Linked DNA regions of Astyanax mexicanus. The protein of the gene in region 1 interacts with the protein of each later gene in a biochemical or structural test. Links are inferred from orthologs where the notes say so. Each region holds a gene or a part of one and is shown on either strand. Other genes may lie near its edges. The genes, in order: ppp2r1bb and ppp2r2ab.

What was found.
Region 2: the proteins of ppp2r1bb (region 1) and ppp2r2ab form a complex in vitro, tested with the Homo sapiens proteins (2 studies listed by BioGRID). The link is inferred for Astyanax mexicanus from reciprocal best matches to the Homo sapiens genes PPP2R1B and PPP2R2A.

What each region holds. Positions count from the first base shown.
Region 1 is NC_064425.1:3,304,015-3,320,810, forward strand, and holds the start of ppp2r1bb (serine/threonine-protein phosphatase 2A 65 kDa regulatory subunit A beta isoform), read right to left. Parts: upstream 8,535-16,796; 5' UTR 8,487-8,534; coding exon 8,409-8,486; intron 6,635-8,408; coding exon 6,544-6,634; intron 6,341-6,543; coding exon 6,240-6,340; intron 5,092-6,239; coding exon 4,859-5,091; intron 1,899-4,858; coding exon 1,751-1,898; intron 1,656-1,750; coding exon 1,500-1,655; intron 580-1,499; coding exon 465-579; intron 345-464; coding exon 274-344; intron 1-273. UniProt on the Homo sapiens protein: The PR65 subunit of protein phosphatase 2A serves as a scaffolding molecule to coordinate the assembly of the catalytic subunit and a variable regulatory B subunit.
Region 2 is NC_064427.1:17,944,870-17,961,007, reverse strand, and holds the start of ppp2r2ab (serine/threonine-protein phosphatase 2A 55 kDa regulatory subunit B alpha isoform), read left to right. Parts: upstream 1-7,578; 5' UTR 7,579-7,844; coding exon 7,845-7,851; intron 7,852-13,211; coding exon 13,212-13,289; intron 13,290-16,138. UniProt on the Homo sapiens protein: Substrate-recognition subunit of protein phosphatase 2A (PP2A) that plays a key role in cell cycle by controlling mitosis entry and exit. Involved in chromosome clustering during late mitosis by mediating dephosphorylation of MKI67.

The DNA.
Region 1 (16,796 bases):
AGACCAGATCATAATTTCACTACTATTTTCACTACGTGAACCGTTCAAGAGTTTTCACACCTGCTCAATTGAGAAACACTAAGAGTACAAACCAAATAGAGTCTATTTCAACGCACATACTGCAATCGAAATTATGTTTTTTAAACCCTGTTATCCACATCATGCTCTTAAAACATCACAATAACAAAATCCATCCCTTGGGCATCTCTCAACATTTTATGCTGAACTCACGTAGATGCACTGAAATAACAAAAAAAAAAAAAAACACATTACCTTAACACAAGGCAGCACATGAGTCATGATGATGTTCTCCCTGCTGTCTTCTGGCAAATTTTCACAGAACTCTGGTTGTAAGGTAGAGGAGAAAGCTCATTAAAGAGGAATATGTACATCAAACTCTATTACTTTACGTCTTTACTCAGTTTAAAGTACTTCAATAAAGCAAAACAGTTTCTCTCACTCACCTTTGACCTTATTGGCAGCTGCAGCCCGAACCTCTGCCTCGCAGTCTTTCAGCAGATTCTGAAACGCTGGGACCAGATCGTTCTTGGTGATCTCCGGGCCGACTGCCTTTTGCAACTTTATAAAAAACAAACAACAAATAAAAAATTACTCCATGCTGAATATTAATTCTGACATTTTGTACTAGTGCCAACTAGTGCTGGGCAGTCTATCGATTCATTCGGTTTACCGCAGGGTGAACTTGATCCGGTATGCGTTTCTCTCATACCGCCACGCCACTAGAGGACACTGCGGAGCGCTGTGCGGAACAGAGCCGTCAGAAAAGAGAGCCAAAGCTGCTCTAGCTCCATCCTGCAGAGAAATCTGAACAGCTCCTGCTGCTGTTTCTACTGTGTGAGTGTTTTTATCCCAGTAAAACAAAGCAGTAACTACAGCGCTTTTAAATATATTAATATTGTAGCTTGAAGGATGATTTTACTGTATTTGTTAACTGAAGAAAGAAGGGAGTTGTAGCTGATTAAAAATACTGTAATGCCTCTAATGGCTTCAGGAATAACATATAGTAAATTGATATTAAACTTGTATCTTGTAACTTTTGAGAAATATCCTTTAATACTTAAACACTGTTTTAAACAGTATTTTAGGTTTATTTAATATATTGAATTTTGTCAAGGGAGATAAATTGTTTAAAGTATTAAAGTTGTTAGCATATCTATTTTTAAGGTCTATAGTTTACATTCTTTAACAATTTTCCTGATAATAAAGTCTGACTTCTTCATATATTGTGTATATATTTTGTAAACCGTATACTACTCAAAGCCTTACTTTTAAAACCTTAGTGTTTTTATATTAAAGCCCAGTCATGCCCAAATATATATATATATATATATATATATATATATATAATAAAATATTAATACAAATACCGTGATATACAGTAAAACCGTCAGAATCTTGAAAAACACTGTGATATGCATTTTTGGCTAAACCGCCCAGCACTACGTTTAAGTTACTTGAAAGCAGTTTGGAAGATCTACCTCAGAGAACTTGTCTGCCACCATGTAGCGCACCCTCCAGGACTTGTCCTCGGCTGCCTGGCGCAGGGTGGGCATCACTAGAGTCTCCAGGTCCTCCTGAGGCAGCAGAGTGGCGATGCTGACACAGGCTTCTACTGCCAGAAGCCTCACAGAGTCCTGATGGATTGTAAAGAACACTACGTTAAAACAGAACTTCACCTCCCGGCATTATTTATGGAAGTGCTTACAGTAGCCCAAACACGCTTACGTACCTGCTCATCGGACGCCAGTGCAGTGAAAAGAGGAATGATGTCACTTTTGACATAATCCAGCTCCAGCACTTTAGCAAACTCGCCCAGTTTAGAAGCAGCAGCACGGCGCACCATCGGGGTATCATCAGAGCACAGGGTGCGGAAATGCCTGCAGAGAACATCATACATCAGAAACTCACCAGACATATTAAATAAACAATGGGTAAAATAACTCGTAAGAGTTGTTACAACTAAGCCATGCAATAAAAGCTGTGCAAACAATTGCTAAATATTTTTTATCTATATTACTGTATTTTGCACGGTTGATTTAAAAAAAAGTCAAATTTAATTTAATTTAAAAAATATAAGTTAAGACCCAAAAATGAAGTCATCATTTCTTTGTTAGAAAATAATATATTGTATTGAAAATCCAAACTTGACTTTTTCCCAGCTGTTATAAATAACTATCAGTGTCCATTAGGGTTGCAGCGGTAACCGGTTTCACGGTATACCATGGTATTAAAATGCACGGTTATCATACCGTGTGTGTTTGCTTATTACCGGTAAAACGCAAGCCAGCGGAGAAAGTCACCCGCGCATGCGCAACTCTGCTCCGCTTCAGCTACTCAGCACACAGCGGTGAGAACGGCAGAAAGTGCATCAGACTAGAGCCTAGATTCTCTGCCCGAACCAGACCTGACCCGAGGACCGACCCGAAATCGGGTCCGTTCGGGCCGAGATTTCCCACCACATTCCTCGGGCCGGGTCGGGTTGGGCTCCAGAAAATAGTCTGAGATGTAGGCATCTGTTTTTTAATTATATATTTTATTTTTAAATAAAGCTCTGGTGTGATAATCACAATGTTAATGCTAAGTAACCAATTATTATTGTTAATGAAAACGAACCAAATAACGAAAACTGAAAGTGAAACTTAACTAACTTATTTATAAGCGCTGTTTTCACTCCCGCAGTTCTACAGCGGGAGGTGTTGTGCCGATTCTGTCCGCGAAGCGGGAGTCGGATTGAGCAGGGAGTCGGATTCGGCATAACAGCGGCAGCGCGGCTGCACCTCGCGGTCCGCGGTGTTAGTTGTAAGCGCTCGCGCTAGCCGCAAAATACGACAGAAAACACTGAGAAACTGCAGAATTATGAATTGGACTAAAATGAGCACGAGGAGATAAAAGAGAACCTTTACCTGTGAGTAGCTCACATCAGAACACGCAAATCTCTCTCTCTCTCTGTGTCTCTCTCTCTCGCACGTGAACTTCTCCGCACTGTGTTTAGCTGTTCTTAAAAATCATTTTTATTAAATAATAGTTCTATGCTTCTATGTTAGTGTTAATTAACATAATTCTGATCATATTTCGCTCATTCAAACAGCCTGAAAACAGACTTGTAATCTTGTAATCAACAAGCTTGTAATCAATGTGGCCGTAGTCACAGCTAAAGGAGGAAATACATCAAACCTGTTCTCCCATCTCCGAGAACACCACCCCGCTGTGCAGCGCAAAGTATGTGTTCAGTTTATAATTTTAATCTGAACATAAATAAAACTTTTGTAGTCGTGCACAACCCATGCGGTAAGCGCCCGCAAAAGCGCTGAGTTATCCGAAATTTGGGCACGCAGGTACAGGCGTGAAGTGCGTGCTACGATGGATTCACGTGTCCGTGTAAAGGTCCTGGCCGGACTGGATGTGAAAGACGCCATTCATTTACATGCGTTAATTTTCTAATTCTGACGTGCCTGTTTTTCATATGTTGAAGGTTTTAAGGTGTGAAAGCCTTAAAATAGAAATCTCTATTGTGAGGATCATGTCAGAAATAAATCCCCTCTTTCTGCAGTATCTGGTTATATACCAACTTTTTTATATATATATACGCTCTTAATGCCCTTAAGAGTAGTGGGAAAACATGGTTTCCTTCACCTGATGGTGTAGTTTCTACAATAAATAGTTAATTGAACAAAAAAACTTTGTTGTAATTTCTTTAAGGGTCAGTTTAATAATATATGTAACAAACTGTGATACCGTGATAACCGTGATACCGTGGTATTTTCCGAGACGGTTATCATACCGTGAAAATCTCATACCGTTGCAACCCTAGTGTCCATTTATCATTATCTTATTTGGCCATATCTTTAAAAACAAAAACAACATAAAAATGCACAAAAAAAAATTGTAAAGCTTACAGGTTTTGTTTTTTTACCCCATAAAAAAAACTGCACAAAGTGAAATGTTTGAGAATCGCAGTTGTAAAATAAAGCACACAATTTGTAGCTATTTATTAGTCTTGGTCAAGACTTATGACATTCCAGTTAGCTAACTCGCTGCTAACGTTAGTTAGCTCGACGCTAGTGTTAGCTAGCCCCCCGCTAATCTCTGTTCTCTCTCTGCATTAGATGTTTACAGCAGGCCACTGTGCTTTCTTACCAACATTAAACATACTGTTGCTAAAGGTTTTTTTTTATTTAAATTATTTTAAATTAAAAAAATGTAATTTAAATCTTAATGTTTAATTTAACCACGGGAACCCTGATATTTTGCTTGTATCAAAATACAATTATTCAAATACTTTTAAAATCTCAGCAAAAAAATAAAAACCTTTAACATCCAAAGTAATTCCATAACAAGAAGTGTACAAGGGTGTTTATCCCAAGTTTAAGACTCAATTTTCCATACTCTCCGTTAATCTCTTGTTTTGTACCAAGAGATTCTCCTGTTTTTGTATTATGCAGATTAGTGTGAGATATGAGATGTACAGAGCTAAAACTGTAAAACAGAAGAGACTGCAGTAATTCTAATAAAGGGCATACCACCATGTTTTCTGATACTGTTATGGACACTGAAATATTGAGCACTGGCCAAAACCTGATACTGAACCAATTTGTTTTAAATCTGAGCTGAACATCCTCGTCTATATTTTCGGCTAAATTTGTTCCAGGAATCAATCAGACTCTTCCCCTTCTTCCCAAATACCAGTCATTTAATATCAGGCATTTTACTGTTGGTACTGGCTCAATCCATAAATTCACAGAAGCACAATAAAAATGCTAAATTCTAAGATAAATAAAGTCACACCTATTACAGTGTACTAAAACTGAAGCAAGTAGGGAGTTTGAGTGGTACGTACTGGCGGATCTCAGCCTTGACGGTGCTGGAAACTCGTGGATAGCACACGCTGAACAGGCCACAGGCAGAAGTACGGGAGGTAAACCAGTCACCGCTGGCCAGGCGCTTCACCAGAGGCTCGAAGTGCACCTCCAGATCCACAGGAGAATGCTCCTGCGAAATTTTCCTCAGAGACTCCACAGCCTTGTCTCGCACTACTGTCTCCTCCACGGTGGCGAGGCTCTCCAGTGGTGGCTGGTGGAGCAATTGAAGACATAAATAAATTATTTCAAGTCTTTTACTTTATACTCTTATAAAACTTATTGAAATAAAATATATGAAATCCTGCTGGTGTGGATTAATCGAAGTTAATAGTTAAGTGATGCACACAAAACCAAATGACCACTTACAGAAGAGTCTTTTACTGACAAAGTGAGCATGTGGGCACAAGCTATAGGTATCCTATTTTTTGCACTGTAAGGCGCACTTAAAATCCTTTAATTCTGCTGAAAAGCCTTCAGGTCAGGTATTAAGGAGCAGTAAAGCCACTCAGCTTCAGTACAGAGTTATACAGGAGTTTCAGTTTAGTTCTCCAGTATCGGGGCTAGAGTAGCATTACTCACTAACCAGACTAAGCGCTAGCTCTTCGGACAGTCAGAAGGGAGTCATTTTTTACCTGTAGCCTGCTGCTAACCCTGGCTAGCACTGCTGTAGCAGCATTAGCATTAGCCACTAACTGCACTCTCTCTTTCTTTGTTCAGAGGCTAGTATATCAGACTGTAGCCTGCGTGTTTACGGTGTTAAAATAAGCTATGTGGGACAAACTACTAGCTAATATTGCCCTGGCTTAACAGAACACTCAAGGTTAGCAGTTAGCCACTAATGATAATGCTCTAGCCTTAGTGCTGGATAAATGTGGGAATAACGGAGATAAATCTCTGTAGATCTACATCCAGCCAAGGTTTTTTAGTTTTTTAGTTTGGTTTACTTGGCTTAGCTTTACTTAACTTAGTTCGATACCCCTCCCCAACCCCACAGCAGTGAGACCTGCTAAATTAGAAGTTGGCTAGTTTACTAGTGTTGCTCAAAACACTCTCTAGGGTGCCTTATTAGTGCAAAAAATACAGGTATATAGATCTATACTTCAATAATAACCTCAATTTTGTTTGTTACTGAAGGTATTTTAGCAACTGCAAACAAACAAACCCAAAGTGACATCCTTATTGCCTTTACAGCTATTACAGCCGTAACGGGATAGGAATGTGTGTGTGTGTGTGTGTGTGTTTTTAACAGTAAAAATGTAAAACAGAAACTAAAAAGTGAAAATTAAATTAGAGACAATAATGTGCATCATGGGTATATACGTCATTTCTGACTCTTAAACTGGCAACTCTGTTACTTACCAAGAGGCAGTGGACATACTCCGGCCCTCCAACCAGCATGGTGAAGTTACCCAGCTGCTCAGCCAGGGCAAGAAGCACCTCGTCCTCATCATAAATAGTGTCTGCATGACCAGAAAAAGGACATATTACTCATATTTATATGTTCAAAGGCTTGCGTTCTGAGAATGAGAGATATAGATATATATATATATATATATATATATATATATATATATATATATATATATATATATATATATATATATATATATATATATATATATATAAACACATCTAGAGGGATAATTCCATAAAGATGTCATACCAGTGAGGAACGGCAGAAGCTCAGTGCGGGTCCTCTCCACACCCAGGGCCAGGGCGATAGTTGACAGCTTTTTGATGCTGTTCAGACGCAACTGAAAATGGAAAAAAATAAACATATGAACATTTAGCTGGGACACATAAAATATAGAACATTTAGAAGAAATATTAACAGCTAAATAAATGTCCTCAAGTTTAACGAGACCCTTTACTCAAACTGGTATATATAAAATGAAGAAAATTGGTTTATTTAAACCAAGGAAATATTAAAATTAGAAACATTTAAAGCCTCTAAACCATATTTTCTACCTTGATGTTTGTACATGCACATGTGACACGTTACAGCAAGAGAAATTAGCATCCTCACTATGATGAGGAGAGATGTATGTATGGTGTTTTCTTGAGTTACTGGTTGTTGAGTCCAGCGCCAATGAACCTGAGTTACATCCCTATCTCTTGGTACTGCTTCTAGTAATAACAACTGACCATTTTTCATCAAGTTCAAATGGTTAGCTGACAATCAAGCATTTAAATCCTACACTCCTGTAGGACAATCCTACACAGCTGTATCTATTATTTTACTAGGAACATTACCTGTACACAGGTGACTGGCATGGCAGAAATAGTCATTAACTAATTAAAAAGAAATAATCTACATATTTGTCAACTACCAAAATAATCATTAGTTGCAGCCGTACTTGCTATGGGAACTTTTGTTAAGAAAGAGACATGACAGTGGGGAGACATGCACAGGTGTGTAGATCTGAGCAGGTGAGGTAAAACATGTGTTTGAACAGGAGCCGTGCTCATTAGTAAATTATATTCAAATTAACTTGCTCTCATTTTAAGAACCATTAAATCAGCCAATTTGGTTGATTATTTTACACTGATATTTGCTGATGTATTTATTGTATGCCAGAAAGGATAAAGCAACATTGGCCATGACATTAGTATGGACCAACACACACCACAATACTTTATTCATTGATTTAAATATTTTTTTGTAGCTTCTATCTATGGGTGGATCTATCCATCCATCTGCCTGTCCATCTATCCATTAATGATGAATCGATTCAACTATTAATTATAGATCCATCCATCTACCCATCAATCTATCCACCCATCCATCCACCTAGCTATGCATTAATCTATGGAGGAATATATTAATTCATCTATTTGTCCATTTATCCGTTATTTATTGATTCATCCATCTACCCACCCATTTATTTACCCATCCAACCACCATCTACTCATCCATTCATGATGTACCCTGTTTGGGTAAACAGGGAGAGCGGATGCAGACGGAGCTCATCTTTACCTATTAAACTATAGCTAGTTAATGTATTTTCCCAGAATCAATAACACATCTGGCTATATAACAAATCCAGCTGGTTTATTTAAACTAATCAATAAACCTGACTGTCCACTGTCCCGGCCGTTAACCCATCACACCTCTGACGGAAAGCTCTGTTAGCATTAGCATAGCAGGATGCGCAGTCACTGATCATATAATCTCTATAAACTAAAAACACGGTGATCACAGACTACACATCCTCACTTCTTTATAAACTAAATACCGCAGTGATAAACTCTGTAGCGCTATTAAACAGAGCGGTAGCTGGTGTACAGCTCTATAAGCTGTTATATTTAGCTTAGCTAGGTTACCTAGCTACTGCTGCTAGTTAGTTAGCGTTAGCGTAGCTGCAGCCCGAGGCCAGCCGGAGCTCAGGCCGCCGCCCGCCCTCCGCGCTGAGCTAGCATTAGCCTCTCACAGCTCTCCGCCACATTACACCACCTCCAGCCTCACAGCTCCCCGGTTTAACCGCGTAAATATACTCAGAAGAAGCTGAACACGAATTCACGGCTTACCTGAACGTCTTCATTCCTCAATTCGTCGATTAAAACCGCGATAGGGTACAGAGAATCTTCTCCCTCAGCTCCGGCCATTTCAGCGTCCTGTCTGTTTCCGCCTCCACTGCGCAGCTACTGAAGAGCTCTGCAGAGAAACACCCGCCAAAATAAGAGCACAGCATACAGCACGGTTAAAGCGTTAAAACATTTATTAATTTATAGAAAATCCAATATTTATATATTTATTAACCTTCTAAGGCATGATGTTTATTTCAGGAAACAAAGTTATTATTATTATTATTATTATTATTATTATTATTATTATTATTATTATTATTATTATTATTATTATTATTATTATTATTATTATTATGGCGGCTGATTTTTAAAGGATAGAGTACACCATAGAGCACGGTTAAAGCGTTAAAACATTTATTAATTTATAGAAAAATATAAGAATATGCCTAGAAGTAATGGGGAACAAATATTACTATTAACCCTCTACGACATGATGTTTTTTTCAGGAAACAATTGTATTATTATTATTATTATTATTATATTTTTAATATATTTTGTATTGTTATTATTATTATTGTAGCTGTTTTTTTTTTTACCTCAACAAATATGAAAATCACACTATAGAGGGTTAAAATAAACACAACATTTACAACCATAGTTAAAATGATACAATAAGCATACAGAAATCTTACTAAATAGCAAAAAAATTGCACTGTGTCTTTTTAGGGGTGGGATCTTTTAATAATTATTAGTTTATATGTAATTGTGTAATTTAATAATTTCCAGTATTCTTGATAAATGAACAATTTTAACCAATAAACATTTCAAATAACAATCTATCTTCAAGCTATAGTTCAAACAGTTGCATAAGGTGTTTGGCCTTATACGTGAAATAAGGCTGAAAATCTTGTACAGCAATAACTTTTTAATGACAAATTGAAATCACAACTGTCTGTGTATATATGTATATATATACAGTGTATATTAGTATATTAGTTTTGTAATATATTTTTATTTGAAAATCAAGACAAAAAATACCTATAGGCTAATTATTTTATTGCTACATAATTTATTCAGTGGTGATTAAAAAGACAAAGCTTCTTACCTAAATGAACACATACACAAAACAGTACACAGTACACAAACGATATAAAACAAAGACGCCTGTAGCCTGTATTACTACAAGACATACAGAAACTGTTTTTACCTCACAGCACATGTCCAGCCGGGTGAATTAAGTTGTTTTGCAGATTGATTCCAGCGGACCAGACACACTGTCACATCTGGTGTGAAATTAGGTTAATAGACTAGCAACCTCACCAAAACACCCTAAAAACAAAGCAGCAAGCCCTTTTTTCCAGTGTGGGGACATTAAGTGGCGTTGGCGAGCACAGTTTGAGCAGTTGGTGTACAAATCTTACAGTATTTTGAATAAATGTTTTTATTTAATTGTCCAGGAGTGTTAGCTTGCTAGTACCATGGCAGTATTTATGTGCATGTTGTAATATGTTGTAATTTGTAGGATCTTGTGACATTCAGGACAAAATGTACTGGCTTTGGACTTTTTTTTTCTGACAGGCATGGCATCAACAACCAAATGATGCATTATGTCAGATGTGTTGATTGTTTGGCACCATCATAAGCCAGGTTCCAAATCCAGGTCCTCGGCTGCAGCCAGTGTAGACTGCATTTCTCGACTGCTGTGTCATAAAAAGCTGTTCAAAAGTGAAGCATCCTTCATATAGCGCTTACAAATGCAGTCTACGTTCAGAAATTTTGGTGCAATTTATGTTTTTTTCTGGATCTGGGCAACCCACACTTTATTTTGCATGTAGAATGTGAAGGGAAAAAGCATCAGCAAAGCCTAGAACAGCAAGGTGCAAAACGCAATTTGCTCTATTTTCTCACAGAAGTTCCCTCACAAGGTTTGTTCTAGGACCTGTTCTAGGCTTTGCAATACCTGATAGATCCGACAGGGACACAAACAAAAATGAGCTTTTTCTTTTAAAAATGAGTTTTAAAAAGAAAGTCTTTTCCTACATCCTGGAAATCAACTTCTACCAACAGGGACTGAGCTTTTTTATTCTAGTTCTAAAATAAAAGTCTATTCCTACCTACCTACACTCTGAAAATCAACTGCTACTAGAAGACTCCGGAGGCAAGCATACTAAAAAAATTGTGACATAGGAAATGTCATTGTCTCAGTTCTTGTAGCTTCTAGACCTTTGGGTGGAGCCAACTTCAAGCAACTAGACAAAACCAACCTGGTGCCCAGCTAACAATTTTTGGTTAGTAGAATGTGTTCTTTAAATATTCAATCTATCAGATTGAATCTTAAATATAGAGCTTGCAAATGCAGTCTAGGTTCAGAGCTTAACAACATTATATAACAAAGTTATAATCTGCTAGATCCAACAGGGACACAACAAAAATGAGCTTTTTATTTTTAAAATGAGTTTTAAAAAGAAAGTCCTTTCCTACATTACTACATTCTGGAAATCTAATCAAAAATTTTTTAGAATTTTAGACAAACTAATGTAAAAGTCTTTGATTTGAAGTAAATGCAACTGGCATTGGTAACGTTACAGAAATAGTCGTACAAGATTGCAGGTTTGCATCACAATGTTATTAGAACATTTCTCACATTATTTTCCCAGTTGTATAAAATATAAACAGTAACATTGCGAAACATTAAAAGTAACATTTCAACACTAAACTTAGAACACTGACACGAAAGATGTTCCAATGATGTTACCAGAATGTTTACAACTTTAAAAAAGGTTCAAGGAACATCCAAAAAAACTTGATAGATTTAGAATCCCAGTTGTGCAGCTTGCCATCAGCTGCTGGAGCCCTGAGAAAGCACAATCGGCCTTGCTCTCTCTGGGTGGGAACTGTAGATGGCGCTCTTTCTTTTTTCCCCCTCATCACTCCTAGGGTGATTTGGATCAGCACAAGGCTGCGTCTGTGAGCTGATGTATTGGAACCGAGTCACTGTATTTTTCTCCGAGCGTTAGCGCTGTGATGCTACTCGGCAATGTTCAGTTCAAAAAGAGACGAAGTCTGACTTCACATGTGTCGGAGGAGGAATGTGCTAGTCTTTACCCTCCTGGTGTTCGGGGGGCATTAGTAGTGATAGGGGGAGTCCTAATGAGTAAGTTGGATTATTGGCTGTGTAAATTGGGGAGAAAATAGGATAAAAATGTACTTTTCAATCATTTCAGTCAATCATTTTAAGTTATCATGTCTTCTCCACAGAATGTTTGTGCTCTGCTGAGTGAGGGCTTGTAAGGAGACTAGAAGGGCACATGCTGAGAAGAGGAGGAGGGGGTCGTCAGCTGTTAATAATCAAGGAGCTGGAGGCCACTGCCGATGACGTCAAGCATTCCTCTTTCCCAACACGCTCCCTCTGATCTCGCCCTGCCACCAGTGAATTGTACACTTCTCTTCAGATGCCTCCCTCATACTTTCCCCCCCGAGCTTATTAATCTCAGCACTCGAGTCCTCTGCACTCGCCCTCTCCGAGGCCCAGGTGTGCTGGGGCCGCTGCCGCCGCGCCCTCCTGTTTATATAACGTCCAGCTAAGCTCTTTCATCTGCTCTCATCTTCCTCTGCTGATCGGAAAGAAGCTGCTCTCAGAGGAAAAGGCCTGGCTGAAGGGTCTTAAAGTCTGCAGTCTATTTCCCATTCCGTCCTGTTAAACATGACCATGAAAGAGAGGAAATACTTGGCTTCGCGTGTGTTGATTAATCAGCTGTGCCACTGATTTTACCCAAGAGAAATACATGCAAAATACATCCTAACCTGCAAAAAGGTCAGACATGGAGGAAAGACACGTACAGAAAAACAGCATGAGCAACAGCGATATTCTCTCACTGCACAGCAAATTTCTGGAGATCAAAAATCTGGAGTCAAAGAAGAATGTGTGAAAGTGTGTCATGGCTGGACAGGACTCAGACACGCGCTGATGCAGATAAAACGTGACTTTATTAAATAACTTTATTAATAAAGGGGCAGACAAAGGGATAGTCAGACAAAAATATACTAATAGGGGCAAACAACAGCAGAAGGGATTTTTGGACATTTCAGGGGTGGTCACTTCTGAAAATCTTCAATTTGATCATTTTTAGTCATATATTTATTAAATACAGGTAATAGACTATCAAAAAGTTTGATTTGTCAAGCTCAGGTATCAAAGCAGTTTTTTAAAATTAGATTATGCAATATATTTGGTAACTTACAGTAACAGGGTTGTGAGTAACAGGGTTGCAAATCTAGGCTAAGTTGTAGTTTAACCAAGGAACAGATGCTAACTGTAAAATTTAGCTATGTATACAAGATCAAGGACAAACATGGTAATATAAGTATATAAAGTAAATTTTGACTCTACTCATTATTAGTCTTACAGTATGAGTAACAGGGTTGAGTTCACTGAGAGACACACACAACTTGGACAAACATATTTGGAAAAGAAAAAAAACGTGAAAATTGTTAGAGCACTTACTCTTGGTCTTGCCATGTGGGCAGAAAATGTCCTTGTGATGTCACTTCCTTAGTGCCGGCAGACAAATATTTTTAACTCTTTCTCTGCAGGTAAAATTCCTTATGGTAACAGGGTTGAGCGCATGTTGTGGGACACAACTTAATAGCATAAAAATTGTAACATGCAATACAATGTAGACCAAAGAAGTTGTTTTCATAAGTAAAGGAGATGCAGATCAACAATATACAAGAGGAAGTCATTTATTTAGAGCTTATTTTAATTGTTAAATTTGCCAAAGGAGTTGGTCACCCAATGTGTGGGACAAGAGAAAACGGCCATTTTTTGAGGTGGTCCAAAGGTATTCGGTCTTTTGAATAATATCTAAGGAGCTTATTTTTCCACCATATTTTATAGTTTGTCTTATAACAAGTACATTTTTCACAAAAAATAGTCATTTATATGTTTTGGATATGTACATTTAAAATTTAAGCGGTGGGACAGTAAATGTACCAAAATCCTGGAATGTTCCATATAACATAGCAGAGTAGTAAACAGTCTAGAGGTCAAACACAGGCAGGCAATATCAGAGGGCAAAAATCGGTGAAAATAGTCGATGAACAAAGCAAGGTCAAAAACAAGAGATACAAAAATAGGCAAAAGAAACGCATTGTATAAGGAAAAAACATCAATACTCGGCAGAGCACAGGTGCATGCAAAATGAGTCCCTTTTATAGGCCAAGAGGCCTAGTATTCTGCTGACTGACTTCCTGGTAGAGGCATGTGATGTGTCATGTGATCATGAGTGAGCGAGTTTCAGTGTGAGGTGCATCCTGGGCAATGGAGTCCGGAGGCTGCAGATCGCAGATAAAGCTGAGTGTGAAAGAGACAGGAGCACTTACAGCACCAGGTGTGACAAAGTGTTAGTAACTGTGTGAGTTTATTGTGTACCAGGCTACAAACAGGGCTGCTTTACAAATTCATGCAATGTAACTCTGTCTTAAAAGCATTTGACACTGTTTTACGCTTATTTAATGTGGGCATAGCTTTTGCTAATACCACTTTTATATTTTGCAGCCTTTAAACACACCTTAAACCTAAATATCTAAAATACTATGATGTAGCCTAAAATACACACTTGCTGCTCATCCAACACTTCTCAGTCTTGACCGTTTGCTATTTTATCAGCCATTGCTCATCATTCTCATGTAATAGAGCTAACGTTCCCTCCATCACCTCAAAGTCCCTTTGTTATCCTAACTTTAATAGCGTTACTACCTGCTTAAGTGCTACACATTCCTGTTCAAACTGTCCCACGGTTTCTCAGTCACAAGCCTGCTCTCCCGGTCTGCTGCTGCTGTCTTCACCTACGGAGGAAGTGGCTACAGCAGCGAACATGTCTGTGATTTTTACACATTTTGTAACAACTACAGTGAATTTCTTTGTGCGTAACTTCTCCGAACAAGCCTTTTTGCCGCATCTGTTTCTCCATACTGCCTCTCTTTAACGCGCTCAACACTGAACGTACCACGGAGAGAAAGGGTGGGACCGCTTTCGTGCTATATCCTGATTGGTTCAGTCCACTGCCTATATTGAAGATAGACCAATGGGTCGCCCCTTCTAAATTGTGGGCTGGTCTCTTAAAAAAAAAAAAGAAAGAAAAAAAAATCCAACAGCATCAGCCCCTGAGGACTGTCAGCCCACCGGGCAAACGCCCGGTACGCCAAATTACCAGGCCAGCCCTGTAGGTATGTAGTCTTACCCACCAGGGCTTCCTTTTATGGTGTATTCCACTCCTATTTCTTCAACATTCAACCATTACTTCCTCCTCAATACCAAATTACTCCACATAATCCTCAACTGCCTTCTAACTCACCAGCCCCATAACTCCATTATCTCTTCAAAGTTTCATTACTCCAGTGTTATCTTCTTAATGGCCTATTACTCCACTCACATCTCAACTCCACATCACTCCACCTATGCCTTTAATACCCAATTATTCCACCCTCATCTCTGTCTGTTTGTCTAAAAACATGGCTAAATCTGGTTGCATCACCAGAGATGGGTAATAAGGGCAAACATCATATTGCACTGGCAAAAACACAGTAAAACAAGAGTTAATACAGAAAGTGCTTTTCCAAAATGGAGTAAAGTATGTACTGAACTGTGTGACATACTGTACTTTACATAATTAAAGTTCATTCAGTTTAATGCTCCGGATTTGTTCACCTCCAAGAACATAGCACATCTAAGTCACAGCCCTTCTAGAAAACCTTATTTTTAGAAGTTTACCATTATTCCTGTCTCTGCAATCTATATCTTACATTTGTGTAGATGTTCCTTAGTGTTTCAGCCATGATGAGGTACACAGATTACTTTATAATGTCTAACTGGATGAGGCATAATGCTGTTCCTTTGTAGCCCTTATTACCCTGAGGAGAACATTTGTTTTCCAAATGAGTCTCCTTGTTCTTTTTTTTAATACGCTGACACTAAAAATATATGAGAGAACACTGAGCAGCAATTTTCTCCTATTTTACAATGTCGTTTTCTCAGCACGGTTGCCCATCAGTAATGGCCAAGGGAGTTTTAGCTCTTTATTTAAAGGATCTGCAGCTGAATGGAAACCTTGCGTTAATGCTTTTAAAAGGACCGGTGTGGTAGGTAGAGTACGGCTGTTTTTAAACCAGCAAAGCTCTGACTGAAAAAACAGCCCTGCTCTACAGTCTGCTGCCTGGCAGGTCTTCTGGTTCACGATGTTTCAACATTAACAACAGCAAATAAGCAAACACATCAACAGCCAGGAGTGAATAACAGGTAGTTATTTTACCTAAGAATAGCTCCAGACTCTGACAACACATAGCTAGTTTTTATATAACGGACACAACCTACAGTACCAAAGCATAACAGAGCAAGCCAAAATTAGACTTTCTGTATTACAAAATGTTATAATACACAGACATACCAAATATCACATGACAGAAGCTAGTATCATGACTTTAGCTATTTCCAATGGAAACCAGAGGTTATACAGGTCCTTTTCTCTTATATGGTCATATTTCGAGATCTTGCCTTGACTTCCACAGTTCCCCTTAACTGCAATTTTGTTATCTGGCAATACACATTCTCCGGGAAATTCCATTCCCTGTTTTATAGGAAAAACATTTGCTTCATTCTCAGAGTGTTAGCATTATTTTTGAAGAAACAATTTATTGTTTAATTGTTTAATTTATGACAAATTATTAAATGCACAAACAAGTCAATTACAGTTTTTCACTTTTGCTTTGGGACATTTTTCACATCAGTATTGAATTTCTCAAAACCAGTTGTTCAATCTGTACATCAGCTAGTCTGCTGTTTCCCAAATTATCAATTGCTTCTGTCCTGCGGATCACAATATATTATTTATTGGTGTTTACCCACCAGAAGAGCTAGCCATTAGTTTAGTTTAGTTTAGTTTAGTTTATATTCTGCTGAACTGGCTTACCTACCAGAACAGCTAACCATTAGTTCACTACATACATCCTTACATTTAATTTAGTTAAGCTTGTTGTCAGAGCCTGCAAAGCAGATTTTATACATTTCTATTAGATTTTTTTTCTGGTAAATATCTCCTGAGTTCATATTTGCTCCGTGGAGTTTAAAAATGGATAATGGATGTTGAAATAATCAGGTAGTCATTATGTTATGCTTAATCTGTGTATAATGATATACAGCACTATTGCTCTGATTTTAGAAAAGATCATCTGATTTGTTTACTTATCCAGAATAATAATGAATGTAATTTATGAAAAAGTCATGTTGTAATATAATAATTAAACTGGATCGAAGCAAAACATACATCTGGATAAAGCTAAGCTTTAACCTGATACAACACAGTGTACTGTAGGGCTGTCCCTAACGATTAT
Region 2 (16,138 bases), on another chromosome or scaffold:
CTTCCAGGAAAGAGGAGGCCTGCCAGCGCCTGAACCGTCCACCACTGACACTCTGACACCAATTGGTTTGTTTCCAGAACCTCTTCCCCTCCCATTTATCCCTCTACCACTTCTTTTTAGCCTAGCCTTCCTCTCACCTTCCTCTCTTTTGCCTTCCCTCTCTCTCTCTCTCTCTCTCTCTCTATCTCTCTCTCTCTCCACTCACTTTCAGCACTTGACATTTAGGTTCTTTGTTTGGCGCTGTTTTAGTGCAGCGGGGCAAGGCTGCCATCATCTGAGGGAAGAGTGAAAAACTTACTTCTGATGCCACGCCTCCATTTCCTCCATTTCCTCAACCAGACAAACATGCAGCATCCCAGCATGACCAAATTTCCAAACTCCCAGCTTTCCAGAATAGCATTCCCAAATCATAATTTGGTAACACTTTACTTGAATGGTCCTCATTGATGCTCAACTAACATTCAACTGCATGTCTATTAACCCTAGAACACTAACATTAAAACTAGTAACATCATATACCATTGGGTAAAAAAAAAAAAAACTATTTTTTTTATTTAAATCAGGTAACCCTTAACAGGTAATGTCCTAACAAACAAACAAAATAGCGCTGCTGGGATCTTTGGTTCACCCATTCCTGGGACATGTGCCTGATTTAAACACACAAACACTAAAATCAGGTAAATTACACTCATAAAATATGTTACTCTCTATCACTAACATCAGATAAAAATCACCCAATCGCATGCCTCTTGAAAAAAACATAGATGGAAGGAGGGAATCAACCATTACATTACAACTACAACTATAATATTATAACTATTTAATGTAACCCTACATCCAACTCTAACCCAAACTCTAATCTTAACATGTTATGATTGGGTTTAGGGTTAGATTTAAAGTTTAGGTTAAGGTTAGGAGTAGGGTTAGGTGTAGGGTTAGATTTTAGGGTTGATTGATGGTTAAAGTTAATCAGCATTCATTTGAATGTCAGTTGAGCATCAACAAGGCTATAAAACAGACAACCCAAGTAAAGAGCTACCCATCATTCAAAAACATTAAAGGGCCTAAAATAAAATCTACCATATTCTATGAGATGACATTTCCAAAATACTTTGTTACTATTACACTTATATAGCAGCTTTCTGCCACTCAGGGCACTGAGGGATGCTTAAATTTACATTTCACACACGCAGCAGCCAATCGTGCACAGCGTACTCTCAACCGGAAACCACCTGGAGGACTGCATCCAGTTTACCCTCGGCATCTGGGCATATAGCCACACACATTCACACACCAGAGTTTAAATTTTTTGGGCAATTTAGAGTATCCAGTTTCTCCAATATCCAATTTTTGGGCACTTTAGAGTATCCAATTTATCCAATATTCATTTTTTGGGCCATTTAGAGTATCCAATTTATCCAATATAATTTTATTGGGCAATTTAGAGTATCCAATTTATCCAATATTTAAATTTGGATAATTTAAAGTATCTAATTTATCCAATATCCAATTGTTTAGGCAATTTAGAGTATCCAATTGATCCAATATCCAATTTTTGGGGATTTTACCTGATTTCCATGGAACTCAACCCAGATAGGGACATGAACCCAAGACCTCAGCACTGGGAGGTGAACGTGCTAACCATTAAGCCAGAATGTTAGAATGTCCGGTACAGCAGAGGACCAGTGATATAGATTACACCCACAGTAATAATGAACATACAGAATAAGGACCTGTAACCTGTAATATACTCAGCTAGTCAAAGTAGTTAGTCACAGTAAATAAAAAGAGTTTAGAACACAACACAGAAATATCAGGGACTTGAGGGCTTCCATTTACCTAACATCCACCACCTTCTTCAGAATAGGAGATTATAAATTAGCTAGTTAGCTATTTAACAAGTATTTAGAGCTTCTGATTACATCAGTGTTTTATTATATACTGAAGAAATAAGTGAAATGGCTCTAGTCCACATAGCAGAATAAGGTGGATAACATTCACAAATCAGGTCTGCTTTGTAGCTTTTTACTATGACTAATTCAAAAAGCCAATAGTCAGAACGGGTGGAGCTAAAATCCTAATAGGTAGGTTGAACCTACCATATGATAGCATATGCCCTAATGATACAATTCAGATACTTTAAGTCATAAACTAGACAAAATACATGCAAACTGAGACATGCTGTATATCTGCCAGTGGTGTAAGCAACTTTTTCTTGGCACGATTTGTGAATTGCAAAGTCTGAAAACCTTTAACATCCATCACTGTGCGGTAAATACAGTTACTCTAACAAAAGCAGGATGAACTCTTTTAATAGCCTTGATTTCAGCAGATACAATGGATGTACAGGTGTTCTATTACTTTTTGCTTTAAATATGTGAACTGAGAAGTCAAGAAATTATGTTTCTTCTGGAAAAATCCATTTTCACCATTTCCAAAATTCCATTTTCCATAATATGAGCCCTTTGCTCATCATATTGTCTGTGTTTTTTGCTTTTTTGTTGACCCAATGCTTTGTGTTTTGTATCCAGGTATGGACTATGGAGGCAAAAAGGCTGTGAAAGGTTAACTGGGTTTATGAAAAATTCCATTTACTCTAATAGAGGCCTTTTAATCACTACAGGAAAAACCTATCCAACTAATCTCAGCTCACTAAACCACTTCCCTCACTTTGGATATTGCTGAGATAATGGATTGTGAAGCCAGGCCTATCAGTCCAAATGAGCAGCCTGTATGTACCTGCAGCAGCAGCAGCATCAGCATCAGCATCACCAGCAGGGTGATGCAACACTGCCATCTGTTGGCTCAGGGGTCTCGGTCCCGAGCTTCACGCCTCGCTCTGTGATAAAGTGTTCACATTAGGAGCTCCTGAGACTCGTGCTGCCAACCAGTCTGCTGGATAGGAAAGACAACCATCTGCTGCCGTATTCCTGGTTAAGTGTTTACCGGAATACATCATCACCATTATCTTCCCTTTCAAATGTGCTCTGCTTCAGATCATTAGCCCACTCTGTCAAACTGCTCCGCAAAACCTGCTCACCGCGCTCACGCTTTCTCGCCCGCCGCTCTCCGCTCTGAATTATGGGCTAAAAAACTTTCCTGAATATTAAAAACTGAATTAATTCTGCATGCGCATTCACAGCATGCTGGAGAAAGAATTTAAATAATAAGAAATAATAAAGAAAAAAGAAACAACGGTGATCTGTCTTTTCTATAAAACAATGAAGATCTTTTTCCTATGTGAAGATGTGAAGAGTTATCAACCACACATTTAGACAGTTATAGCAGAAAAGTGTATTAATGTTGTAATGTAATACATGTAATACATACAGTACTATATAGTACATATATACTATAGTACATATATGTAATAAGCAAACCCCTGTGAAAAGGAAGTGTACTTAAGTTCATTAAAAGTATGTTCAAATCAGGTAAAGAATACTAAACGTGCATATTCAATTTATTATACGTTTTAAAAATAATACACTAAATATAAATTCTTTAAAAGGTATTTCTAAGCTATATGTACTTTTCCTTATTAAGTATACTTTTACAAAATATACTGAACACACTTTTCTTTTACAAGGGAAAACATGGCCTTTCTTAACAGTATAGTCTGAGGAGAAGGACTAAACATCATGAATATCAATTACAGTAGGCCATAATTAGTCAAAAACATACTTATTTTATTAATAATAAATCATATTATATGTATTATATTTTAAAACAAATTTTGACTTCCCTTAAAAGACGTGTGACTATGTGATTTATCATCTAACATCAAAAATGAAACTCAGTAAACTCAGTAAAGGATAATATCTGGATAAGGACAAACCACATAAAAATACAAATGTAAACACACCTAACACATTTAATCTGATGATTTAAACCACTTCAGAAGATGGTCTGAGAGATTTAAAACAGACACAAATCCGATCACTTTAACTACTTCAGAAGTTCATCAAGCTCACTATGTAGGGCACTATTACGGGGTACAGAATTAGAAAACGATTTAGGACATGCCATTATGTCTGTGGGTATTCTATGTACAATTGTGTGCATCATTTGTACACTGTATGTTACAGTGCACTGAAAACCCAAACTGTTGGATCCCCAAAAGAGTGCACTATAATATAGTAATAGTAGGACAGCAACAATTAGTCAACATTACACACACTTGGTTTGCTTTCTCTCTCTCTCTGTGTGTCTTTAAAGAAGGTGTAAACACACCAGATCAGGGACAAGACAATGACCGTACCCACTGTATTTCAGCTCACTATACATGTTTTTGTGTTTTTGCTGTCTCTGGAGCGATAGAGAAAAGCAGGGAGTGAGTTTACCACAAGTTACTGCTGCTGCACAGAGAGCAGGTAGAGAAGGACAACATTTCTTCTAAATTCCAAATAACAATATTGTCAATTAGAGCATTTATTTGCAGAAAATGAGAAACGGCTGAAATAACAAAACAAAAAAAGATGCAGAGCTTTCAGACCTCAAATAATGCAAAGAAAACAAATTCATATTCATAGTTTTACATTTTAAGAGTTCAGAAATCAATAATTGTTGGAATAACCCTGGTTTGTTTTCAATCACGGTTTTTGCTATGCGTTTTGGCATCATGTTCTCTTCCTCCACCAGTCTTACACCCTGCTTTTGGATAACTTATGTATATTAACTCCTGGTGCAAAAATTCAAGCGGTTCAGCTTGATTTGATGGCTTGTGATCATCCATCTTCCTCTTGATTATATTCCAGAGGTTTTTAATTAAGTAAAATCAAAGAAGCTCATCATTTTTATGTGGTGAGGTTGTGTGTGCTTGGTTTTCTCATTCCGTCCTCTCGCTCCTTCCCCAGCGAGTGTGTATCGCCTCCTTTGTGGCGGAGTGAGGCAGGTTGACGGCGGCTGCCAGTCGCTGCCGCGGTACCTGAAAGCTGGGTCACTTGTTCAGCTTCCACATGCCTACACAATGAGTCAGCCTCTCGGCTGCGCTCTTATCACCACCTCCACTGCTGCTCCCCACAATCCTGTCTGTGTGCCTACAGTCACTCTGGGAGAATTGCGCCATTTTCTAATTCAGCAGCTCGGCTCTGAAATGGGCTCGCTTTAGCAGCTCTCCGCTGCCCACACCAAACTCAATGGCCCGGCTGCCTGAGAATGAGACGGGATGGATTTGCTAATACAGAAAAGGCTGTTGGTTCGTTGTGAGCACATGAGGCCTGTTAACACCGGCGGTCAAAAACAAATTGCTTGCATTGGCGCATGTTGGAAACTGATGTTTAGCAGCTGTTTCTGATTAAACTGATACTGATGGGGTCTCCAATGGGACATTTTAAAGCACCGTAGAGGTTATTTAATACATCCAGACTTGATTTAAACCCCACAGAAAGCATGCAGTATATAGGGCTATGCTCTCAGCAAAAATGGCCCTAAAAACTAGAATAACCGTTCCCATATATTAATAATAGAGATGTATGCCATAAACCCATAGGTTTGAGTTGGGTTGGGTCAGTTTGGTTTGGTTTGGTTTGGTTTGGTTTGGTTTGGTTTGGATTGGGTTGGGTTGGGTTTGGGTTGGGTTGGGTTGGGTTAAGTTAAGTTGGCTTAAGTTTTGTTTGGTTCAGGTTGGGTTGGGTTGGATTTGGTTTGGGTTCAGTTGGGTTAAGTTAAGTTGGCTTAAGTTTTGTTTGGTTCAGGTTGGGTTGGGTTGGGTTTGGTTTGGATTCAGTTGGGTTAAGCTAAGTTGGCTTAAGTTTTGTTAGGTTCAGGTTGGGTTGGGTTCGGTTTGGTTTGGGTTCGGTTGGGTTAAGTTAAGTTGGCTTAAGTTTTGTTTGGTTCAGGTTGGGTTGGATTGGGGTCAGGTTGGTTTGTTTTGTTTTAGTTTGAATTGAGCTTGGCAGGTTTGGTTTGGGCTGAGATGGGTTTGGTTTGGGCTAGTTTTGTTTGGTTTGGTTGGGTTTCCTCTCCTTCAGTTTTGCCCCTCAATCCACTTCTGTTTTATTTTCTCTTCCAATGATTCATCTTAATCCAACATGTCCTCTCCTCCTTTTCATCTTCCTTTTCTCTTTCTTCATACATTTCTTCCACCCACTCAATGTTTTACACTTCACTCTATTCCTCCTCCTCTCCATCCTTCTCTTCTCCTCCTCCACATCTCTTCCATCCACTTTATCTGTATCTTACAATTTCCTCTATTTCTCCTCCTTTTCTCAATCCTCCTCTCTTTTCTTGTCTCCATCATCCTCTTCTCCTCTCTATATACATTTAACCATTCCATATTTATCTCACCCTTTCCTCTATTCTTCCTCTTCCTCTCCATCCTACTATTCTCTCCTCATCTTCTTCATCCTACCCCTATCACATTTTACGCACTTCCTCTTAATCCACTTCTTCTCTTCCCGTCCATCCTACCCATCCCTCTTCTTCCTTTCCTTTCCTCACTTTCCTCTTTACCTTTGTTTCTCCACCTTTTACTCTCATCATAATTCAACCTACAGCTCCTCTCTCCATGCTTCATTCAACTGTATTCCTCCTCCTCTCGCCTTCTCTCCAATCTTCTCCCCATCCTACCCATCCCTCTCCTTCCCTTTCACAACTTCGCTCTTCTTTCCCTTTTAATTCTTTTCAAACTTACTCTTTTCATAATCCTCCTCTTTTCCTTCCTTCCTCTTCTCCATCCTCCCTCACCACTTTCTTTATTTCTCCATGTTTTTCTGTTCTCATTACTTGTTTCTGTTCTCATCTCCACCTCTCCATTCTCCTCCCTTCTCTTCCTCTTTTCCATTATTCCAATTCCCTCTATACCTCCTCCTCCTTCCCTCTCTTCATCCTCCTCCTCTTCTCCTCTCCATCCTACCATTCCCTCTATTCCTCACCCTTCCAAACTTCTCTCTCTCTCTCCATCCTACCCCACCTTTTTCACTTTTTCACTCTTTCCCTTTGTTTCTCCAACCTTTTCTGTTCTCATTTCTTGATCTTTGTCTCCTCCTCACTTCTTCTTCTTCTCCCTCTATCCATCCTCCCTTTTCCTTCATACCTCTCCTTCTTCTTTCCCTCCCTTCCTCCATCCTACCATTTCCTCTATTTTTCACCCTTCCCACCTTCTCTTCCTCCATTCTCCTCCTCCTTTTCATTTTTTTCCTTTATTTCTCCACCTTTTTTATTCTCATTACTTAATTTCCATCTCCCCCTCTCATCCTCCCTTTCCCTCTATACCTCCTCCTCCTTCCCTCTCTCCCTTCATCCTCCTCTTCACTCTTTTCGTCTTCATCTTCTCCTCCCTTCTTCCTTTTCTCCCTCTATCCTTTCATTTCATACCTCATCCTCCCCTCTCTCCCTCCAGCCTTCTCCTTCTCTTTATCCACTTCACTCTTTCCCTTTATTTCTCCACCATTTTCTATTCTAATTACTTAATATCTATCTCCCCTCTCCATCCACCTCTTCTTCTCTTCTCTTCCTCTTCTCCATCCTTCCTTTCAGTCCATACCTCCCTTCCTTCTTCCCTCTCTTCCTCCCTCCCTCTCTCCATCCTCTTCCTCCTCCTCCTCCCCTCACAGAGCGGCGCATATTGACGGCGTGCTTTGGGAGGAGGTTGCGCCATTTTGGCTGTGTAGCAGGAGGAGAGTGGGAGGAGGAGCTGGAGGGAGTGGATGAGCTGTGTTTCCACCGCTGGGCTCTCAGAGGAACCGGAGAGACACTGTAGCTAAAGCCAAAAACAGCGCTGACCACCCAGCCCCGCACCCACCGCGCCCCGGCCACGCACCGCCCGTCGCCCCGCAGCTCTCTCAGCCGGACTGCTCTGCAGGAGCGCGGAGCCAGGAGCTACTGAGACCGGCCTCCCTCTCACCATGGCAGGTAGCGTGCTAACTGTGCTAACAGTGCTAACTGCTAGTTAGCGTGCTAACTGGGGCTTTAACGCTTTTAACTTAGATATCTAGCTGACGTTTTGACATGGGGCTATTTCTAGCTTCATTCGGCAACGTTTAAACATCTGAACCTTCATTAACAGCACGTTCAACTGATGCTTAGGGTGATTGTATGAAAGTATTAGTGATAAAAGACACAGTTTGGTGAATGTTAAGCTAGGTGGGTTAGCCGCTAGCTTAAGAACGATAGCTAATTCAAACGGGCGTTCACGTTTAGCATGTTAGCGTTAGCTAGTTAGCCTAGCTAGTTAGCTTAGCCACACACTGCGGCCGTCCTGCCTGATTTTCTTTTTCCCTCCTTAGACTGTTCGTGATTATTCTCGAATTTCACACAAAACCTATAAAATAATCCACGATTTCATCTCTTTATAGGCTTGGTTTAAATGCTGTCTATCTATCGATAATGATAATTAAACAGTCAGCATTATTTAATGGATAATTTGGCGAGCTAACTCTTAGGTTAGCTTAGCTAGGTTAGCTAGCTTAGCTAACTAGCCTGAATTCCCTCGCTCTTTCCCAGAGCAGGTGGACTGATTCCTTTTTCCAGTCATTTATTTATTGATTAGCTCACTAGCTATTTGGTTAAACTCAATATATTTATAGCTATTTAGTTCAATATATATATATATATATACAATGATATTGTAAACCAGCTATATCATTGTCTATGCTATCTAAAGCTAGCTAGATTGGTTTTAACGAGTGAACTTTAACCAGTCGTGATCAGTTTTTGGTGCTGAAACTGAGAAGCGTGTACTCCATCAGTCTGCCCACCACAACAAGAAACATGGCAAATTTTACACAAACTGTCTCAATTCTGCATTAAATTACTACATATTCCTTTTATTAAAGTTGTAGAACTTTTGTTTTGGCCTAATATTTGCAGTGTAACCGATCTCTAGACCCGTTTTTAAGTATTGGTACGAAATTCAAAATTGAGTCCGATACATTCAGTAAACAGCTCATTCATGATGTTTTATTGTTTTTGGAACATGACTGTGTATATTTTAAGATTAAACCCCGATGTAACATAAATTACAATTTTGTAACTTATGTTTTACCAGTTACTAGGTTCATTAAAGTGTTTAAATTGTTGAAATGGTCAGAACAGAGCTGAAGAAACAGAAAATACACTTTTTAAAAGGAGCTAGTTTTGTTTAATCTCAAGCACTCTCAGCACTACTAGTCACTATCTGAGTTGTATAACTTTGTTTTAGCCTGATATATTAACAGAGAAACTGATCATTTAACTATGAGTGTATAAAAGTAACTTTTGGAGACTTAAAGCTAGGTTGAATCATTTCCTCAATTCAGAGGAAGCAAATCATTAAATGGAAAAAAAAAGTGATTTAATATAGTTTGAATCAGTACTGAGCAGTATGACCACAAATGTATATTACAATATTTTTCAAGATTCTGGCAGTTTCATGGTATATCACTTAATATTTTTTTATGTATTTATTGCATGACTGGACTTAAATATAGGTTTGTGGCTTACTGTACTGTTATGAGTACATATAATATAAAACTATGTGTTTGAACGAAGGCTTTGATTAGTATTGCTTTACTTTGTTCCCCAAAATTACACAGTATATGAAGAAATCATACTTAATTAGCATAAAAACAGCTAATTAATGTGAACAACAGATCTTAAAAAGAGATATGCCAACACATTTAACATGACAATGACATCCTTTACAAAACTATTTTTTTATAGTTACATAAACACTAGAAATGGACATAAAATACTCAGTGTTTAAGTATTCAAAAGATATATTTCTCAAAAGCTATAAACTGCCCAGCACTAGTTTGAATTGAAACTGACCGATATGGAAAAGTTGATATGATATTTCTTGATTTCGGCTGGTACTGTCCGTCCTGCAGGTGGACGGTGGTTTCTGGTTGAGAGTAGGCTGTGCACGATTGGCTGCCGCTTTTCAATGGTCTGTGTGGATGAGTGCTGCTTAGCTTTTAGAGTCTTGGTCCTGAAACTGTACCACATCATTAATCACGATTAATCACACTTTTTGTTTCTTAAGACTAAGTTTTATTAATGGGTATTTAAATTTGAATCCTCCCGCTTATTCATCTTCTACATTTTCATCCTCTTTTTCACTTCCTCTGCATCCTACTATTGTTTATCCTCCTTGTTCTCCACTTCCCTTTTCCCCTTTATTTATGCCTTTTATCAACAATTTACTCTAATTATTTAACCTTCTGCTTCTTTTTTCTGCCTCTTCTCCATCCTGAAACTGTGAAGCGTGTACTCTGTCAGTCTAAACATGGAAAATGTACAACAAATGTACAAACTGCCTCAATTCTGCATTAAATTACTACATTATTCTTTATCAAAGTTGCAGAACTTTTGTTCTAGCTTGATATTTACAGATAAACTGATCCCAAATGTGTTAAAGTAGCAGTATATTTTGCAGCTATTTGGAGGTTAAAACACTTCATCAGTATAAAGGAAATAATCTATACAATTAAGGGAAAAGAGGAAATTATTTAATAGTTTGAAAATTCCTATTTCAGCTTTCACTGTACAACAGAATGCCTTCACAATTGGATTGTGCCATATCATTTCATACACAATAAAATCATAAGTCCTTTTAAAATATTGTGAACAATATTATATAATATATGTGAAATATGGTGCCATATCACCCATCCCTAGTTATCACATCAGGGTACTACGTTTTTGTTGCTGTTTTTAGCTAAATAAATATCCACACTGTTCTCATTTCCCATTATACATCAGATTATATCTGTGCAGTATAATTAATTATAAATTAACTCAATCCTGGATATATGGAGATATTTGGTGTGCATTATAATTAGTATCATGACATTCTGGATCATTGACTTCTGTTACAAATCTGCTAAAATTCTTGGTTCTTAGATTTTTTAAATATCTCAATTTATATCATATGCAATAATACCATTTAACTTTCATTTTGTTGCAGTTGTATTTTTATTTATTCTAAGTTTCTTTTTTTTTTCAATTCAGTGTTTTGTCATGTCGCCAAGAGTATTGTTATCGCAGAAATACCATGAAATATCGTGATGTATTCAATTTTAGGGCCATATCGCCCACACCTATTAGTTACAAGATTCCTGATGTAAGTGGGGAGAAGGCCTGTTAAATTTGGTGTTTTAGGTGGCACCTCGTGGCAAAGAACTCTCTAAGGATGTGGGAAATAGGATTGTTACACTCCACAGCCCGCCTAGTGAACTCACTCAGATGTTCCTTCATGTTCCATATAAGCTTCAGGACCTGTCTTGCAGTAATAATTCTGTTAAAACTAGACAATGAGAAGCTCCATCTCCAATCCAGGTCTGACCAGTTTATTGTGCCAATTAATGCAGAATCGCAGAGGAGTTGCACCAACCTGTTTCCTTTATCCATCCCTCGCTCCAGAGCTAGCGTTAAAGACATGAAGTCATAGGGTGTGATTTGCTTCAAAGGCCGAGCTGAAGCTGTTCTTTCAGGCTTTATTAATTGCGGCTGGGTTTTAAAGTGAGTGGAAGACTCTGCAAGGTCACAGATCTTCTCGCTGTCTGTCTCGCTTCCATCCTGATACGTTTTATGAGACCGCCACGCATCACACATCCTGGTCTTTCAGCACCTTTTCTTACTACCTCTTTTGCAGATTGACTCAGCTTTTCCCCTTTTTTCCTACCAGGCTGCACCATTCAGCGTGAATAAGCTGGATGTGTTTCTTATTCAGACTCACTTCCTGTTCAGAAGCTCTAATTTTGGTGTAATATAGTCTAGGATCATTTGAAAAGTCTTATTTTAAGAGATGGATCGGGTTGATTTCAGGGTACGTTCTGTCCTGATTTGGCAAAGTCAAACTGCTGTGGCTGAAAAAATCTTAAAACTTCAGCTTTTACAGTAGAAGGGGTAAATTATAGAAGGATTTTATTTTATGAGTGATATGGCCCTAAAATAATATCACAATATTTATACTTTTGTGATACCAATAATCTTGGCTTTATGACCAACATTGACTTTAGGGATGCACTGATATGGTCATATGGTAATTCTGGGCTGATGTAAAAATCCAATATTACATATGAACATACAGCTTCTGAATCAGTTTCTCCAATTTTGCTATTTCTAGGTGTATGTTTGTGTAAAATTAACATTGTTTTATTCTATAAACTACGGACAACATTACTCCTAAATTCCAAATATAAATATTGTCATTTAGAGCATTTATTTGCAGAAAATGAAGAAAATGAGAAATGGCTGAAATAACAAAGATGAAGAGCTTTCAGACCTCAAAATTCAAAGAAAACATGTTCATAATCATAAAGTTTTAGGAGTTCAGAAATCAATATTTGGTGGAATAACCCTGGTTTTTAATCACAGTTTTTATGCATCTTGGAATCATGTTCTCCTCCATCAGTCTTACACACTGCTTTTGGATAACTTCATGCCTTCACTCCTGGTGCAAAAATTCAAGCAGTTTAGTTTGATTTGATGGTTTGTGATCATCCATTTTTGAATGTAATTATATTCTATAGGTTTTCAATTTGGTAAAATCAAAGAAACTCATTTTTAAGTGGTGTCTTATTTTTTGTCCAGAGCTGTATATACCTGCCATTTTTTATTAAAGTTTTAAAGTAGCGTCTTCGGTGTGTGTCTACAGCGTCGTTCGGTTCTTCAGTCTGGCATATAATAAGACAGACAGCAAATACCGGTTTAATGTTTCTAAGATAAAAAAAAAGAAAACATTAGTTGATAAATAATACAGATATATTTAACAATGGTGTGTATTATTATGGTCATGTAAAAACTTTGTTTCTCCAAAATGGCAACGTTACAGGAAAAGCAAAAAAAAAAACAGTTTATATTAATGAAAGTTACTTTTAGCGTTTTTAGAGCATTTCCTTAAGCTCTTTAATCATAAAACAACTCTTGGATTTCAAAAAAAAAAAAAAAAGGCAGACAGAGTAGCATTTGGTGATAAGCTGTATTATATAAAATATTTTATTCTTAAATGCTCTGCAGTTGTCTCTAAAATGACCGCGCAAGTGTATGAAGATGATCTTTCTGCAGGAATTTAAACCACTTTTTAAGTCACAAACCAAAGTCTGTGTGCTGTAAAATTATTGGCCTGAGATGCCTGTGATGTTGAACATGGCCTGAGTCTGTGATTTTTGCCTGTATTTGCTGATCACAAATGATTACAGATAAAACAGTAAAGCAGTTACCTGTATTAATTCATATTGGTGCAAGGACACTTAAACACACTTTTGTTTGTTTCGTGTGTGTGAATGCAGGTGCCGGAGGCGGGGGCAACGATGTGCAGTGGTGCTTCTCGCAAGTAAAAGGGGCCATTGATGATGATGTAGCTGAAGGTAGGTGAACTTTTTACTTTTGCATTTTCCCTATACTGTCATCGAGCTGATGACAAAGCCGGAACCCCTGAAATTCCTGTGTTTTAAAAAATATTATTGCATCTAAAATGCAATAGAATATCATTAAAGAGTTTTTCAGTAATTCAGTTCGGAATGTGAAACTCGTATATTATATAGATGTATTACACACAGAGTGATGATTATGAAGCTTACAGCCACTGAAAACCCAAAAATCAGTTTTAAAAAATTGTAATATTATATAGGACCAATTGATACTTTTGGAAGTGTTGTCAGTAGCAGAGGGAAGCATGAAGTGCTGGAAGATTTTGTGGGGAAACAAAACTGCACTGACTTTAGACTTGATAATAAAACACAGTGGATCAACACCAGCAGATGTTGCACATGACTCTCCAAACCATCACTGATTGGTGGAAACTTCACACTAGACCTCAAGCAGTTTAGACTTTGTGTCTCTCCGCTCTTCCTCCAGACTCTGCTCCCTTGATTTACAAATGAAATGTAAAATTTACTGATGATCAGTGATGGTTTGGAGAGACATGTCATCTGCTGGTGTTGATCCACTGTGTTTTATTATCAAGTCTAAAGTCAGTGCAGTTTTGTTTTCCCACAAAATCTTAAAGCACTTCATATCTTACAGCTTCTCTCTGCTGATAACAACTTTTATGGAGATGCAGATTTCATTTTCCAGCAGGACTTGGCACACTGCCCACACTGCCAAAAGTACCAATTGGTCTTATATAATTTTAAAATTATATGAGATGCTGATTTTTGGGTCAGTCTTTTCATAATCATCAATAATAAAAGAAATAAATGCTTTGAAGAGATAAAAAGTTTTTTCAAGGATATTCTACTTTTTACTTTTTTTTATAAGGTGCACTAGTATATATTGGGGAACAATAAAATAATAGTCTTAGTTTTCTATCTGTTCTATATATCATTAAATGCGCCAAATTTATTGGCAGTGGTATGTTTGAAGCAGTGTGAAAAATGCTAGTGTTCCTTTAGGTAGTCTTTCAGGGATAATAAACGAGTCCCAGCATCAGGAATTGTGCAATAACTGTCAGACTGGATTTGACTTATTACTGATTGTTTGCAAATATGTATGAAGAAGTGGGAGCGCAGCAGGTACGTCCTGCCTCGTCATGTTCGCAGCGAGCCGGCTCTGCGCTGCACACCGGAGAAATGAATTCCATTACTGTGGCTGTATGTCAGATCTGCACCATTCCAGAGGAGGAACGTTTTGATCCTGCATGGCTTTGGCTGAGAACATCAACCTCAGCGCCCACATGCTGTGGCTTGTTGTTGGGAAGCCTGGATGACCTAGTGTTGGATGTGTGCTTTTAGAATCCAGCAGATTGTTCTTTTCCAGAAGAAACATATCGTATTGTCCTCAGCAGTAGTGATGTACTGTAGCAGAGCATCGGTATAGATCTGCCACCACGGTTTGGTATGCATTTAAAACACAAATTACCATATTTTTCGCACTAAAATATTGCACCTAATATCTTTAACTTCCCCAAAATTTCTAAAGTGCGCCTTATAATAGTGTGCACCTTATGTATGAATTCTAGTAGCAGTAAAGCCGCTCCACTGAAGTACAGCGCTACACAGGAGTTTCAGTGAAGTTTCTCCAGCACCGAGACTGGAGCTGTATTAGCATTAGCCGCTAACCGCTACCATGTTAAAACAAGCTACTGCCTTACTGGAACACTCAGAATTTACTAGCGCTAAGCACTGCTGCTAACCATGCTGTTGAAAATATTGGTTAATCTAAGCTTACTGTAAATAAATGGAAGCGCTTTACTCACCCAAAATAACAGTTTTTAGGAAAGAAATCTGTGTAGATTAACATCCAGCACTTGTTTGACTAAAAGAAAATGTTTGGAAGGATACTGTGTCCTTTCCTCCCTTAAACAGTGAGAATTAGACATGGTGACACCCCTGTTCCCTACTATTGTCGCTTAAACTGTGCCTTATAATCTGGTGTGTCTTATGTATGAAAAGAAACCAGAAATTAGACTGTAATTGGTGGTGCGCCTTATAGTCCGTAAAAAAACGATACTTGATTATGGGCGTTTTCACACCCGAGATTAAAGGTTCATGTGTCTTTGTATCTTTGTACATTTAATCCGGTTAGTTTTGGTTTCACACTTCTCTTTAGTGACTAAGGATGGTTTCATACTAACTTCAGACCTTTCAGTTTGAGTCTGAACAAAAATTGTGGGTGTGAAACCGGCATGAAACAGTCTGCACTTCAGAACCAGAGTTTGGGCTCAACCAAAAGAGGTGTTTTCAGTGGTCTGGATCTAATGAAACATGGTTTGATTCTTCTGCAGTGTGAAACACTGTGCTAGATGGTTTTAGACTTTTTTTTACCAATTACAGGAAGCTGAGTCAGTCTTTTAACAGGGTTCGTAAGGTCATGAAAAATCTGAAAGTCCAGTACAATTCCCAGGCCTGGATACGTTTTTTTTTTTTTTTTGTTTTGTTTAATAAAAAATCCTAGAAAGTTTGGAAAAAGTAATGGAAAGTTGCAATCTACAAATGTGTGCTTCTCTTTATCGATGGAGAAAATCTATTTTTAGCTAAAAAAAAAAATACATCAGCTCAGATTGAAGATTGTGTCAACATTTTTAATCAAATTAATTTTTAAACCTACTTTAATCTATTTTGACTATAGTTTTAGTTGGTTTTTGGTTTTATTGTCCATGTCTGCATAGACGTTTGAAAGATAGAATGGTCACGGAAATTTAGCTTAAAGGCAATTAAAGGTCATGAAAAAGTCATGGAAATTTATTGTTTTTAAGCAAACCAGAGGATAAAGAATG